Mus musculus: one gene and its partner. The protein of the gene in region 1 interacts with the protein of each later gene in a biochemical or structural test. Links are inferred from orthologs where the notes say so. Each region holds a gene or a part of one and is shown on either strand. Other genes may lie near its edges.

What was found. The genes of interacting proteins can lie anywhere in the genome.
Region 2: the proteins of Spi1 (region 1) and Mecp2 form a complex in vitro, tested with the Homo sapiens proteins (2 studies listed by BioGRID). The link is inferred for Mus musculus from reciprocal best matches to the Homo sapiens genes SPI1 and MECP2.

Annotation. Positions count from the first base shown.
Region 1 is NC_000068.7:91,109,428-91,115,343, forward strand, and holds part of Spi1 (transcription factor PU.1), read left to right. Parts: intron 1-3,827; coding exon 3,828-4,018; intron 4,019-4,817; coding exon 4,818-4,983; intron 4,984-5,647; coding exon 5,648-5,916. UniProt on the Homo sapiens protein: Pioneer transcription factor, which controls hematopoietic cell fate by decompacting stem cell heterochromatin and allowing other transcription factors to enter otherwise inaccessible genomic sites.
Region 2 is NC_000086.7:74,082,190-74,088,205, reverse strand, and holds the start of Mecp2 (methyl-CpG-binding protein 2), read left to right. Parts: upstream 1-2,515; 5' UTR 2,516-2,619; coding exon of another isoform or gene 2,620-2,696; intron 2,697-6,016. UniProt on the Homo sapiens protein: Chromosomal protein that binds to methylated DNA. It can bind specifically to a single methyl-CpG pair. It is not influenced by sequences flanking the methyl-CpGs.

The DNA of each region.
Region 1 (5,916 bases):
AGAGGGCAAGGTGGCACAATAAAGGGACAAAGCCAAGTTAAACACTGCATTCACAAAGAATTGTCCAAGCCAGGTACGGTGGCACATGCCTGTAATCCTGGCACTTGGGACGTAGACACAGGAGGGTCAAGACTTCAAGATCATCCTCTGCTACACAGAAAGTTTGGGGCTAGCCTGTGCTACCCGAGACTCTGTCTCAAAAGGAAGGAAGAAGGAGGAAGAAAGGAGGGAGGGAGGGAGGGGGGAAGGAAGGAAAGACAATGACAGAACAAAAGAGAAAAGAAAAGAAAGGGGAGAGAGAGAGAGCCAAGCATGTTGGTTTAAATCTGTAATGAAGCAGGAGAATCACCATGAACTCAAGGCTATCTCAGACTGCGTGTCTCATAGGTTCTGGGCCAGCCTGGGTTATAGAGTAAAACACAAGAAATAAGGTTCAGGGGGCCAGAAAGGCTGACCTTTGCTTTCTGACTCACTTCCTGGACACTCTCTCTGGGGGCCCCAAATTTGGAGTGAGTTTGCCTACCAGACTGTTGGTTACATAATTGCCTGGGCACCCAAATCAAGGGGAAAGGTGAGGTTTTGAAACTGTTGTAGCGCAGGGCATCCTGGCCATCGCCTTCAGGAGACCAAGAGCAGGGAGCAGAGGCCCACATTTCCCCACAGTGCTTCTCACTGCTGTCTGTCATCCACAACAACTTTGGGAAATGCTGCTTTAGGCTTCAGAGCTAGCAGAGGTGGGGTGGGGCCAGAAAGAGTTAGGTCAAATGCCTCTCATCTCTCACCTAGAGGACAGCAAACACTCACAGTTCCTGTCCCTGGAGCTGGAACGGGCTGCGGGAGAGACAGGGGAAAGTAAATGGTGGTGATCAAGAGGAAGCTGGGTCTGCAATCCAAACTGCAGAGCCCCATTCTGTCCTTTCGGGTTTAGTGACCTTTGATTTTGGTCCTGGGGCTCAAATGCAGGACCTTGCGCATGAGAGACAAGTGCCTTCACTACAGTGTTACGGCCCTGGGCTTTCTGTTTTATTTTGAAATAAGATCTTGCTTTCTAGGCCAAGATGGCCTCAAACTTTTAAAAACATATTTTTAAATATTTATTTGTCTCTCTCTGTCTCTCTCCCTATCTCTCTCTGTGGGTGTGTCTGTGATTTTGTGTGTGTTTGTGTATATACACACATGTCTATGCTTTAGGAGTCCAGAAGAGGGCGCTGTTGAATCTTTTGGAGCTAGAGTTACAGGAGGTTGGGAGTTGCCATGTGAACTCAACAGCCAAAATCAAGCCCCAGGAACCGACATCAAAGGTCACTAAACCCGAAAGGACAGAATGGGGCTCTGTGATTCGGATTGCAGACCCAGCTTCCTCTTGGTCACCGCCATTACTGTCCCCTGTCTCTCCCTGGGAACTTAACTCTGGTTTTCTGTAAGAAAAAGTGGTCTTAACCACCAGGCTACCTCTCCAGATTCAGGCCTCAGACCTTTGTTTTGAGTTAGGGTCTCATTTTATCTACATGGCCTGGAACTCACTGTGTAGACCAGGGTGGTCTTGAATTCAGAGACCTCTCTGCTTCTGCTTCTGGAGTGCTGGGATTAAAGGCATGTGCCATCATGCCTAGCTTGCCTTCATGTTCTTTCCTCTATTTTCTGGTTGTTGAAGTTACAGATGTGCTAGCGCAGGCTCTTTAGGGCCAGTATGAGTGTACGGGAATAAATGTTCTCCTTTTGTGCCATGTTCTATCCTAAGCACCCTCTGGGCATCAGATAGCTCATTTACCCCTTCACAGTGTATGGATAAAATGGGTATAAACTACTCACTCAGATGAGGAAACTGAGGCCCAGGAGCATGCAGCAGTAAATGCATCCGGGTTTGTCTGAAGCTCCAAAGCATGCACTTTTTCTTCTGTGCCGCAGTTTCCTAGAGATGGGTCCCGCTGCCAGACTCAGAAGATGTGGCACATGGACAGAGCCTTGGTAACAACCTTTTAACTGGGGAATCAGAGGCTCAGTGGAAAAAAAAGGTGTTTAGGCTCATACAGCCCAGCACTGCTCAGCAGGATGAGAAAGCTAGAGCCAGGCATGTAAGCCCAAACTTAGAAGTCTAAGTCGAGATGATCACATGTTCAAATTCAGCCTGCGTGAGACCCTGCCTCAAAAACACACGAATACGGATGAGTGAAGGGCTCAGTAGATGACGGTGCTTACTGTGCCTGCCTGAGGTTGATCTTGGGACCCCTGAGGTTCTAGAAGGAGGGAATAGATTCTGTTCCTCTACGCATGCACAGCATATTTGGCCCCTCCCAGTAAGCAATTAACAAAAAGAGTCCTGTGGTATTGGTACACAGCTGGAAAGCATATGTCATTTCTTAAAGGATGTGTTTGTGTGAGAGACAAAGAAAAAGCAAGATCATAGGCATGCGTGCCTGCGTGTACACACATGAACATATGCACACACATACACATGCACACATATACACATGCACACATGTACACATGTACACATATACACATGAACACATGCACACATATACACATGCACACATGTACACATGTACACATATACACATGAACACATGCACACATATACACATGCACAGACATACACATGCACACACATACACATGCACACATGTACACACATACACATGCACACATGTACACACATACACATGCACACATACACATGCACACATGTACACAATACACATGCACACATATACACATGCACACACATACACATGCACACATATACACATGCACACACATACACATACACACATACAAATGCACGTGGTTACTGGAGGACTTCCCCTGGTTCATCACCTTCCACATCCTTCAGGTCACATGAGGAAATCCCTCTTTTAACACCAAATTTTCATTTTTTTCGTTCTTCTTCCTAAATTCATTTATTGATATATGCGTGTGTATGTTCATGTGTGATCGCACGCTGAGCTCAGGTCGTCAGGCTCAGTGGTGAGAGCTTTTACCAGCTAAGCCATCTCGCTAGCTCCATACCATACACCAAACTGTGCCCAAAAGTCCCTCAGATAGGCAGCAACTTTTGTTCCTGGAAAAGGTGTAGGGAGAAGCCACATCACAGATCTACCCAGAGCTATGTGGCTGCTTCCTAGAGTTGGGTCCACCCTTCCACAGACACCAGACACCCATAGGGGCTTTCTGGGGAAATCTCTTCCTTCAGCTTCCCAGGAACCTGGGCGTGGCTGCCCCTGCCTGTAGTTTTACAGAAGCAGCATTGTAGGTTTGGACAAACTCTGGTATGTGAGAAATGTCAGCCCCGTGACTTTGCAATCACACCCTGATCATGTGACAAGGACCCATGCTTGTGACTTTAGATAGCCAGGAGTCTGTGGAAGGTCACAGAGGCAGGGGAAGCCGTTTTCCAAGGCCTGCTGTGGGTCTAGAGTGGGAGCTTATGTGTATTCGCCCAATAGCAATTCTACCTATTTTGTAGGTGGGTCCACTGAGGCCAGAGAGGCTTAGGCCTGTGCTGAGGTCACACAGCCAACAGATGGCAAAGCCAGGACTCAGACGAGGGCTCAGAAGTCTGTGTCTCTGGGCCCAGTCAGGAAGCCACACCAGTGGCTGCTGGTGACAGCTCCAGGTGTGACTGTCATTAGGGACTTTAACATTGGCATGTTAGGAAACCTCTCTGCGCCTCAGAGTCCTTTCTATAAAGCAGCGGTGGAGTCCGTGAATGTTCCAGGAGATGATTAACGTACTTTCTGCCCAGCCTGAATGGTTATGTTATGTTACTCTATCATCTCCCTGCCCGGGCACCTTGGCTCACACCCTCCCCCCTGGCTTTCCCATAGATCACTACTGGGATTTCTCCGCACACCATGTCCACAACAACGAGTTTGAGAACTTCCCTGAGAACCACTTCACAGAGCTGCAGAGTGTGCAGCCCCCGCAGCTACAGCAGCTCTATCGCCACATGGAGCTGGAACAGATGCACGTCCTCGATACTCCCATGGTGCCACCCCACACCGGCCTCAGTCACCAGGTGTGTGCTGCTGGCTGTCCTCTGTCCACCTCCCCTCCCCACCCCAGACCTCCAGGCCTGTGGTGAGGCATGGAACCTTCACAGGAAGCTGACATAGGCTCTTACTCAACGTGGCTTCCTGATCTACAGAGCCAACGGCAGCTGGTACCCCAACAGCTGTGCTGACCTCCCGCCTGACCTTAGGGACCCACACCTTAGTCTCACACACGATGGATAGATCCCATATGATCCACTAGTCCTCGGCCATCTTCTCTCACCCTGTTCCTGCTTGTGACCCTCAGGGTTCCACTGCCTATAGTCCCCATTTTCTGTCTCTCCATGTACCCAGACTCTGAGTCACTAAATGCTCGCCTCTGCAGACCTCCTGGCTCCCTATTGATCCTCATTGCTGACTATTCTCTGCTCCAGGGTCCTAACCCCGACCATTGATCTCTGCCATCCCTCACTGACCTTCACTGCCCATTCATTGGCTCATCACCCCCTCATTAAGGCTCACTCACTTCCGTATTAAGCCCCAGCTCATTGCTCCCCAGAACCTTCCCACTATTCCTAGTGCACTGCCAGGGCACATGGCCCCTTTGCATGCGTAAAGATATACCTTTATCTTCCCTAAACCAGAGGCCACAGTTGGAAGGGTGGTAGGCTCGGTAACTAACAACTCATTGTACCAAGACCTGCACCCCTGAGTCTTGGTCCAGACTGGCCCCTAGTTTTCCCTTCTTAGTCCTCGACCCTGCTGACCCCTCCTGCAGCCCTGGGCTATCCCTTATGGACTTCACGCCTGTTCTTCCCTTTGCAGGTTTCCTACATGCCCCGGATGTGCTTCCCTTATCAAACCTTGTCCCCAGCCCACCAGCAGAGCTCAGATGAGGAGGAGGGTGAGAGGCAGAGCCCTCCCCTGGAGGTGTCTGATGGAGAAGCTGATGGCTTGGAGCCTGGGCCAGGTCTTCTGCACGGGGAGACAGGTAGGGTCCAGCATCACCGATCCAGTGACTGTAGCTGCATTTACATTTATGAACCTTGCATATTCCTAGCCAAGGTCAACTGGCCCAGCAGCCATGTTTCAGAGGTGTGTGTGTGTGTGTGTGTGTGTGTGCATGTGCATGTGCATGTGTATGCACACATGCGTGTTTGTGGATGCTTCTCTACCTGTACAGGTCTCTAAGTCTGTCTGTATTGTGAATGAACAGGCATCATTTCAAAGTGCGTGAGAGTCTGTGTGTGCATCAGTATTGTGTAGGAGTGTGAATGGGAGACTGTATGTATATCTGTGAAGGCCTGGGTGTATACAGGACTGTGAGTGTGTGAGGTCATGTGTGTGAGTACCTGTGAATGTGTGAAGGCCTATGAGTGTGGGAGGAAGGCCTGTGAGTGTGTAGGTCTTGTGTGTGAGTGCCTGCGTGTGAAGGCCTTTGGATAGGCATGTAGATATGTGAGAGCAGATATGGGTATATGTATGGATACACGTGACATATCTATGAGGATTTGTATATATGGAGGGGTGTGCACTTGAGTGGGAGTGGGCACGTGTGTGCTTGCACCTACCATGGCTGGGAGGAGCTGGTGGGAGGGTCCCCATAAAATCCTTGCATCCTGTCCACACACCACTTGGTTGCCCATCTCTCACAGGCAGCAAGAAAAAGATTCGCCTGTACCAGTTCCTGCTGGACCTGCTGCGCAGCGGCGACATGAAGGACAGCATCTGGTGGGTGGACAAGGACAAAGGTACCTTCCAGTTCTCGTCCAAGCACAAGGAGGCGCTGGCGCACCGCTGGGGCATCCAGAAGGGCAACCGCAAGAAGATGACCTACCAGAAGATGGCGCGCGCGCTGCGCAACTACGGCAAGACAGGCGAGGTGAAGAAAGTCAAGAAGAAGCTCACCTACCAGTTCAGCGGC
Region 2 (6,016 bases), on another chromosome or scaffold:
GCCTTCAGTATTTTGAACTGTGTCATCTTTCTCATTTTTCTTTGTCATTTTGGAATTAAAAAAAAATGTCCCACCACTCCCACAGATTTTTGGATAGAGTGGATGTGTGTGTTCTATTTTCCATATTGCTAAAATTCTTCAGTTTGTTGAGATATATACATGTAGTATACTTTCCTGGTTGTAATTGCCCCACTTTTTATGTTGGGGATTGAATCCAGGGCTTTATGAGTGGTAGGCAAGTGCTCTACCATTACGTTTTATCCTCAGACTCTATCTCCCCATTTTAAAGGAATATTATTTTTAAATGCTACACTCTCATTTTTTAAATGGCTCCTTTTAATTCTACTGCTAAAATACTTTTGGTACAATATGCCTTTTTTTCTATTTTTTTTTTTTAGTGCAAGTATAAAATATGTCATTTAAATCTCTTTTATCTAATTTAAGGAACTTAAGATTTTCTTCCCAAAATTTCACAAGGTAGGAAAATGATGTACTTTATTTTTGTGAATGATATTGCACTGTAGATCTTGCTGTTTCTTGCTTTGTTCTCAATTAAATATCATGTTTCCTCTACAGCTTTATAGACATTTTGATCAGATTAAGGACATTCTAATTATAGTTCTTTAAGGTGTTTTTAAAATCATATGTAGGTATTGAATTTTATTAAATGCTTTTTCCTGCATGTATTGGGATACTCACATGATCTGTTCTTAAAATTATAATTGATTTCTAATTTTAAACCATCCTTGCATTCGTGGAATAAAACTCAGCCTGAAGGTGTGGCTGGAGAGATGGCTTGTTGCTCTTGCAGAGGACCCAAGTTCAGATCCTATTCTCTGTATATGCAAATACCTGTATTCTCACACCCCAACATACACACACACACACACACACACACACACACACACTACCACTCTTACCCACTTGTTTTTTACATTTCTATCTTAGTATTTTATGTGTATAAGTGTTTTGCCTGGTGCTCACTGTGGTCAGAAGAGGGCACAGGATTCCCTGAGACTAGAATTACAAATGGTTTAGAATGGCCATATGGGAAATCCTCTAGATTTCCCCCACTGTAGTAAGATATTCACTTAGGTGATCCTGTCCCAAAGTCAGCCATCATCCTTATTTTTTTTCTTTCTTTCCATCTGATATCCAATACTTTTGGCTCAATTTTTAACATAAATCTTAACTATCACAACTTATCAGATTTCAACTGCTACTGTCCTGGTTAAAGCCTTCATCATCTATCTTTCTTCAACTGCTGCCAGGACCTCTGGACCAGCCAGTTCTTCATTCTTCACTGGCAACATAGGTTTTATGGTGACAGCTAGTGACTCAAATATTTATCAAGGGCTTCTCATCTCAAAATAATCTCCTAGTTCTTTTGGTGGCCTAGGTCTCTCTCCAGTCACACTGGCCTCCTTAGTAAGGCAGGCATAGTCCTTCCTTAGAGTGTTTAAACTTGCCTAGAATGTTTTCCCCAATTACCCATATTGGGAGACGACATGAGGGCAAAAGCTAGAGGGTATCATAATAGCACTTCTTTTGTCCTTGCCCTATCTATTTCAAAGTCTTTATCTCTGTGCAAAATTTTAAGTTCTACTTTCTTGTATGTTTAGTATGACTCTTCCTTACCAGGAGTCTAGTTTGTCTCCTTGTTCAGTACTAAAACAGTGCCTAGCAAATAAATGAATAGAGAGGGGAGCCAAATTTGAATCAGAAAGTCTCTTGTTGCATAGTGTTTAAAAAACAAACAAAGAAAGAAAGTCTCTTGTTGAGCATTTGTTTAGCACAAAGAGCATTGGATGCTGACTGGTATCAGGGTAAGGCTGCTTTGACAATGCTCCCTCTGGCCTCACTCCCTTTTATACGTACTTCCATCAAACCATCTGATTCAACAATGACAGACCGATCTCTTATGGGCTTGGCACACACCATCTGCCCATTATAAACGTCTGCAAAGACCAAGGTTTGATATGTTGATTTTACTGTCAGCCTTAAGAGTGCGACATCTGCTAATTTAGTGTAATAATACAATCAGTAGACCCTTTAAAACAAGTCCCTTGGCTTGGAACAACGCCAGGCTCCTCAACAGGCAACTTTGCTACTTCTACAGAAAATGATAATAAAGAAATGCTGGTGAAGTCAAATGCTTATCACAATGGTGAACTACTCAGCAGGGAGGCTCTAATAGGCGCCAAGAGCCTAGACTTCCTTAAGCGCCAGAGTCCACAAGGGCCCAGTTAATCCTCAACATTCAAATGCTGCCCACAAAACCAGCCCCTCTGTGCCCTAGCCGCCTCTTTTTTCCAAGTGACAGTAGAACTCCACCAATCCGCAGCTGAATGGGGTCCGCCTCTTTTCCCTGCCTAAACAGACAGGAACTCCTGCCAATTGAGGGCGTCACCGCTAAGGCTCCGCCCCAGCCTGGGCTCCACAACCAATGAAGGGTAATCTCGACAAAGAGCAAGGGGTGGGGCGCGGGCGCGCAGGTGCAGCAGCACACAGGCTGGTCGGGAGGGCGGGGCGCGACGTCTGCCGTGCGGGGTCCCGGCATCGGTTGCGCGCGCGCTCCCTCCTCTCGGAGAGAGGGCTGTGGTAAAACCCGTCCGGAAAATGGCCGCCGCTGCCGCCACCGCCGCCGCCGCCGCCGCGCCGAGCGGAGGAGGAGGAGGAGGCGAGGAGGAGAGACTGTGAGTGGGACCGCCAAGGCCGCGGGCGGGGACCCTTGCTGGGGGGCGGGTAGGGGCGGGACGTGGCGCGGGAGGGGCCCGCGGGGTCGGGCGACACGGCTGGCGGATGGCGTCCCTCCTCTCTACCCTCCCCCTCCCTCTGCCGCCGGTGGTGGCTTTCTCCACTCGTCTCCCGCAATCGCGAGCGACGGTTCTCAGCGCGATCTCCCTGGAGCCACCTTCGAATGACGCCCTCCCGCTGCCCGCCCCATCTGTGCGCATCCTAGGCCCCAGCTGTGCAAGCGCCCTTGTCGTCTGGGCTTCGCCAGTTGGGGCTGCGCGCGCTCCTGCCCTTCTTGGGGCTTTGGGCCTCGGCACTGTCGCGCGCCCGCGGTCCCGGCCTCTCCCTGGATCGCGCTGTCCCCTTCTCCCTCGCGCGCCCCCACTCCCGTTACTTGCTCCCCCCTCACACACACAGACTGGCGCGCGTGCGCAGTCCATCTCCCGTTGGGAGAGTGCGCCACAAGGGCTCCTGAGCTCTTACCCCCATCTCTGGGTTTTGCTCCCTCCTCCTCCTCTCCCATTCCGTGACTTTTTGCCCCCACTGCAAGCGAGTCGGTCCATCAGCTCCATTCCCCACTTGGCAGGAACAAGTTGAGGGTTATTGTCCACCCACAAAAAGGACTAGACATTATGTTCCTAGGTCCCACAACTCATCATAAAGAGATGGTTGTAGTTCTCATCAGGAACCGTGGGCAAGGGACTGTGCGTTCCTCAGCACTCGAAGCTCTTCCGTGAGACCATGCCCGCAGGGTGCTCTGGTTCTTTGGGGATGCTGTGCTGTGGCTTCGGAATATGAGCGTCTTCCCACCCTCCCTCCCCTCCCTTCGCCAGCGATCATCCAGTTACATAAGTGGAATGGGACGTTGTATGTAACGGGCTCTCTTCGTCCTGGAGCGCTCAGGATCGCCAGTACCAAATGGGGCGAGATCATCGCATCGCTGTGACTCCTGTCACTTATCTTTGAAAGTTCATTCTCTTTTTAGTTTGGTTATGGCTGAATCACTGAAAATAAAACACAGGTGACTTTTATGTGGCAGTGGCAATGTTTCTGAGGTTTTGCACTAAAGGTTTAAAGTCATCATGGAGTCTAAAAAAGATTCCCTCTCACAAGAGAGACCCTGGTATGACATTGTTCAGTATGGACCCCTGAAGGGCAAAGCTTGTTAGGGGATACCTCTATGCTGGTTCCTTGTATGTTCGGGTATAGGTTGATCAAAACAAAAATGGGCTCCACCACAAATTTGATATTCCTGACTCATAGTCAGGCAGATATGTACTCTTGGTTAATTTTCCAGGAACACAAATGGGCTCTGTTGAGTCATTTGCATGTTGACTCCACTGTTTGGAATCATTACAGTGAGGCAGTAGGCTCAAATACAGGGTGGTTGATGACGATCATGAAACAGAATGGACTAATTTATAGTGCTAAGTGACTGAGATGTTGTAGGACAAGTTCTAGATATTTTGTTATACTACATAAATGAAACCAATTTGGGCCTGGGTAGTAAAATTTCACTAATAGGTAATTATTACTGTAGAGGAGAATTTTGGGTTTGTGGTTGGAATTATGTGAATCTCAGCAATTTCAATTAATAACATGATTAAACTGATATCTTAGGTTCTTTGAAATATGTCGAATCTCTATAAAAAGATAAAATTTGGATTGTTAGGTCCTTGGGGAGTTTCCACCAAGGATTTGGAAAAATATATTTACAGACTTTTGGTTTTTCGTTTGTTTTTAACTTCAAATTCAAGTCATACTCAGAAAGCCTAGGAAACACTTGCTTTTATTTTCTTACCTGGATATGTCAGAACCTTAAAGAGTCCAAACACTGTAAAAGTACAAATGATCTAAAATGAGTTAATACACATGGCCGACAGAGTGCATTCACTTTCACAAACACACCCAAGTCTTGCTTGTCAAAAAATTCCAAGGTTTGTACATCTGAGCCTGAGCTCAGAGTTGGAACCTTTACTTTGTTTTTATATTCTTACAACAGGTTTGCTTCCTCAGGTGCCCCTCTGGTTATCTATTTGTTGTACCCATAGCTCTTTAAACATCGTAAGCAACTTCTAGAACACAGTTTCCTTTCAAAGTGCCTGGTGACATCTGAAGCTAGTGTGTCCTAAGAATTTGAAGAAACTGTATGGCTTTCTTGCTAGTATTGATCTATCACATATGCCTATTTTCTTTCCATGAGAATGTGTCTTGAGTACTTTAAAGCTACAGTAACAGGTCACTATTTCACTGAAGAAGAAAGCATCATGTTGTCCATTGTACTCTAAGGATTATTTTTTTCCTTTTTTTTTTTTGTTATTGTTATACTGGTGGTCAAACCCAGGACCTCATGCATGCTAGGCAATCACTCCACATCCTTAGCCTTCTACTCTGTTTTTTGTGCTGTTTGACTCCTGAGGTACATATGACCACAAAGACTACACATAGACCACAAAGATTTTGGAAGGTTATGATATGTTTTTGCAATCTGTGTATTTTCCAGATAGAGTGGTTCACTCTACCTGATCTGCTTCTATGAAGCCTAATCTATTGGGGATAGGGAGGCAAAGCTATGGAGTTTAAGGAGAAATCAGCTAAACCCTTGTTCCAGTGCCCCAACTCCACCCATGAACTCCTGAGAAGTTTTTTTTTTTTTTAAACCTAAAATAAAGAGCAGCAGAGGTAAACGTGTTAGTTTGTTTGCATGGTAAATGATATATCCTGGAACCTGTTATCTTTTCTAAAGGTAATTGTCAGTGAGAATCTTTTTTTTTATTCATTATTCTCATATATTGCATCCCAACTGTATTTTCCACTTCCTCCTCTCCTCTCAGTCCCTCACTCCTCCCTTCTCCTTCCCCATCCACTCATCCTTTTCCCTTTAGAAAAGGCAGGCCTCCCAGGCATATCAATGTAGCATGGCATATTAAGTTTCAATAAGACTAGTCACCTTCCCTCATATTAAGGCAGCCCACTAGGAGGAAGGGGATGCCAAAAGTGACAGAGCTCCCCACTCCCTCTGATGGGAGTTCCACAAAAACAGGTCACTCGGTGGGGAATGTTTTAATTGGCTAAGAGCAGTTTACCACCAGTGAACTACTTCTGGGAAGCATAGACTGATGGACAATGACATTTCTAGTAGCCAGTGTTTTTAAGCGCAGCCTAGACTAGAGAATTCCAGGAAGTGTGGCAGAATATCTCATTTTAATCACCTGCTCTGGTAACATCTGTGCAGCAAGCCATGTGGCTAACAGAAACAATCTTTTTAGTTGGGTAGAAA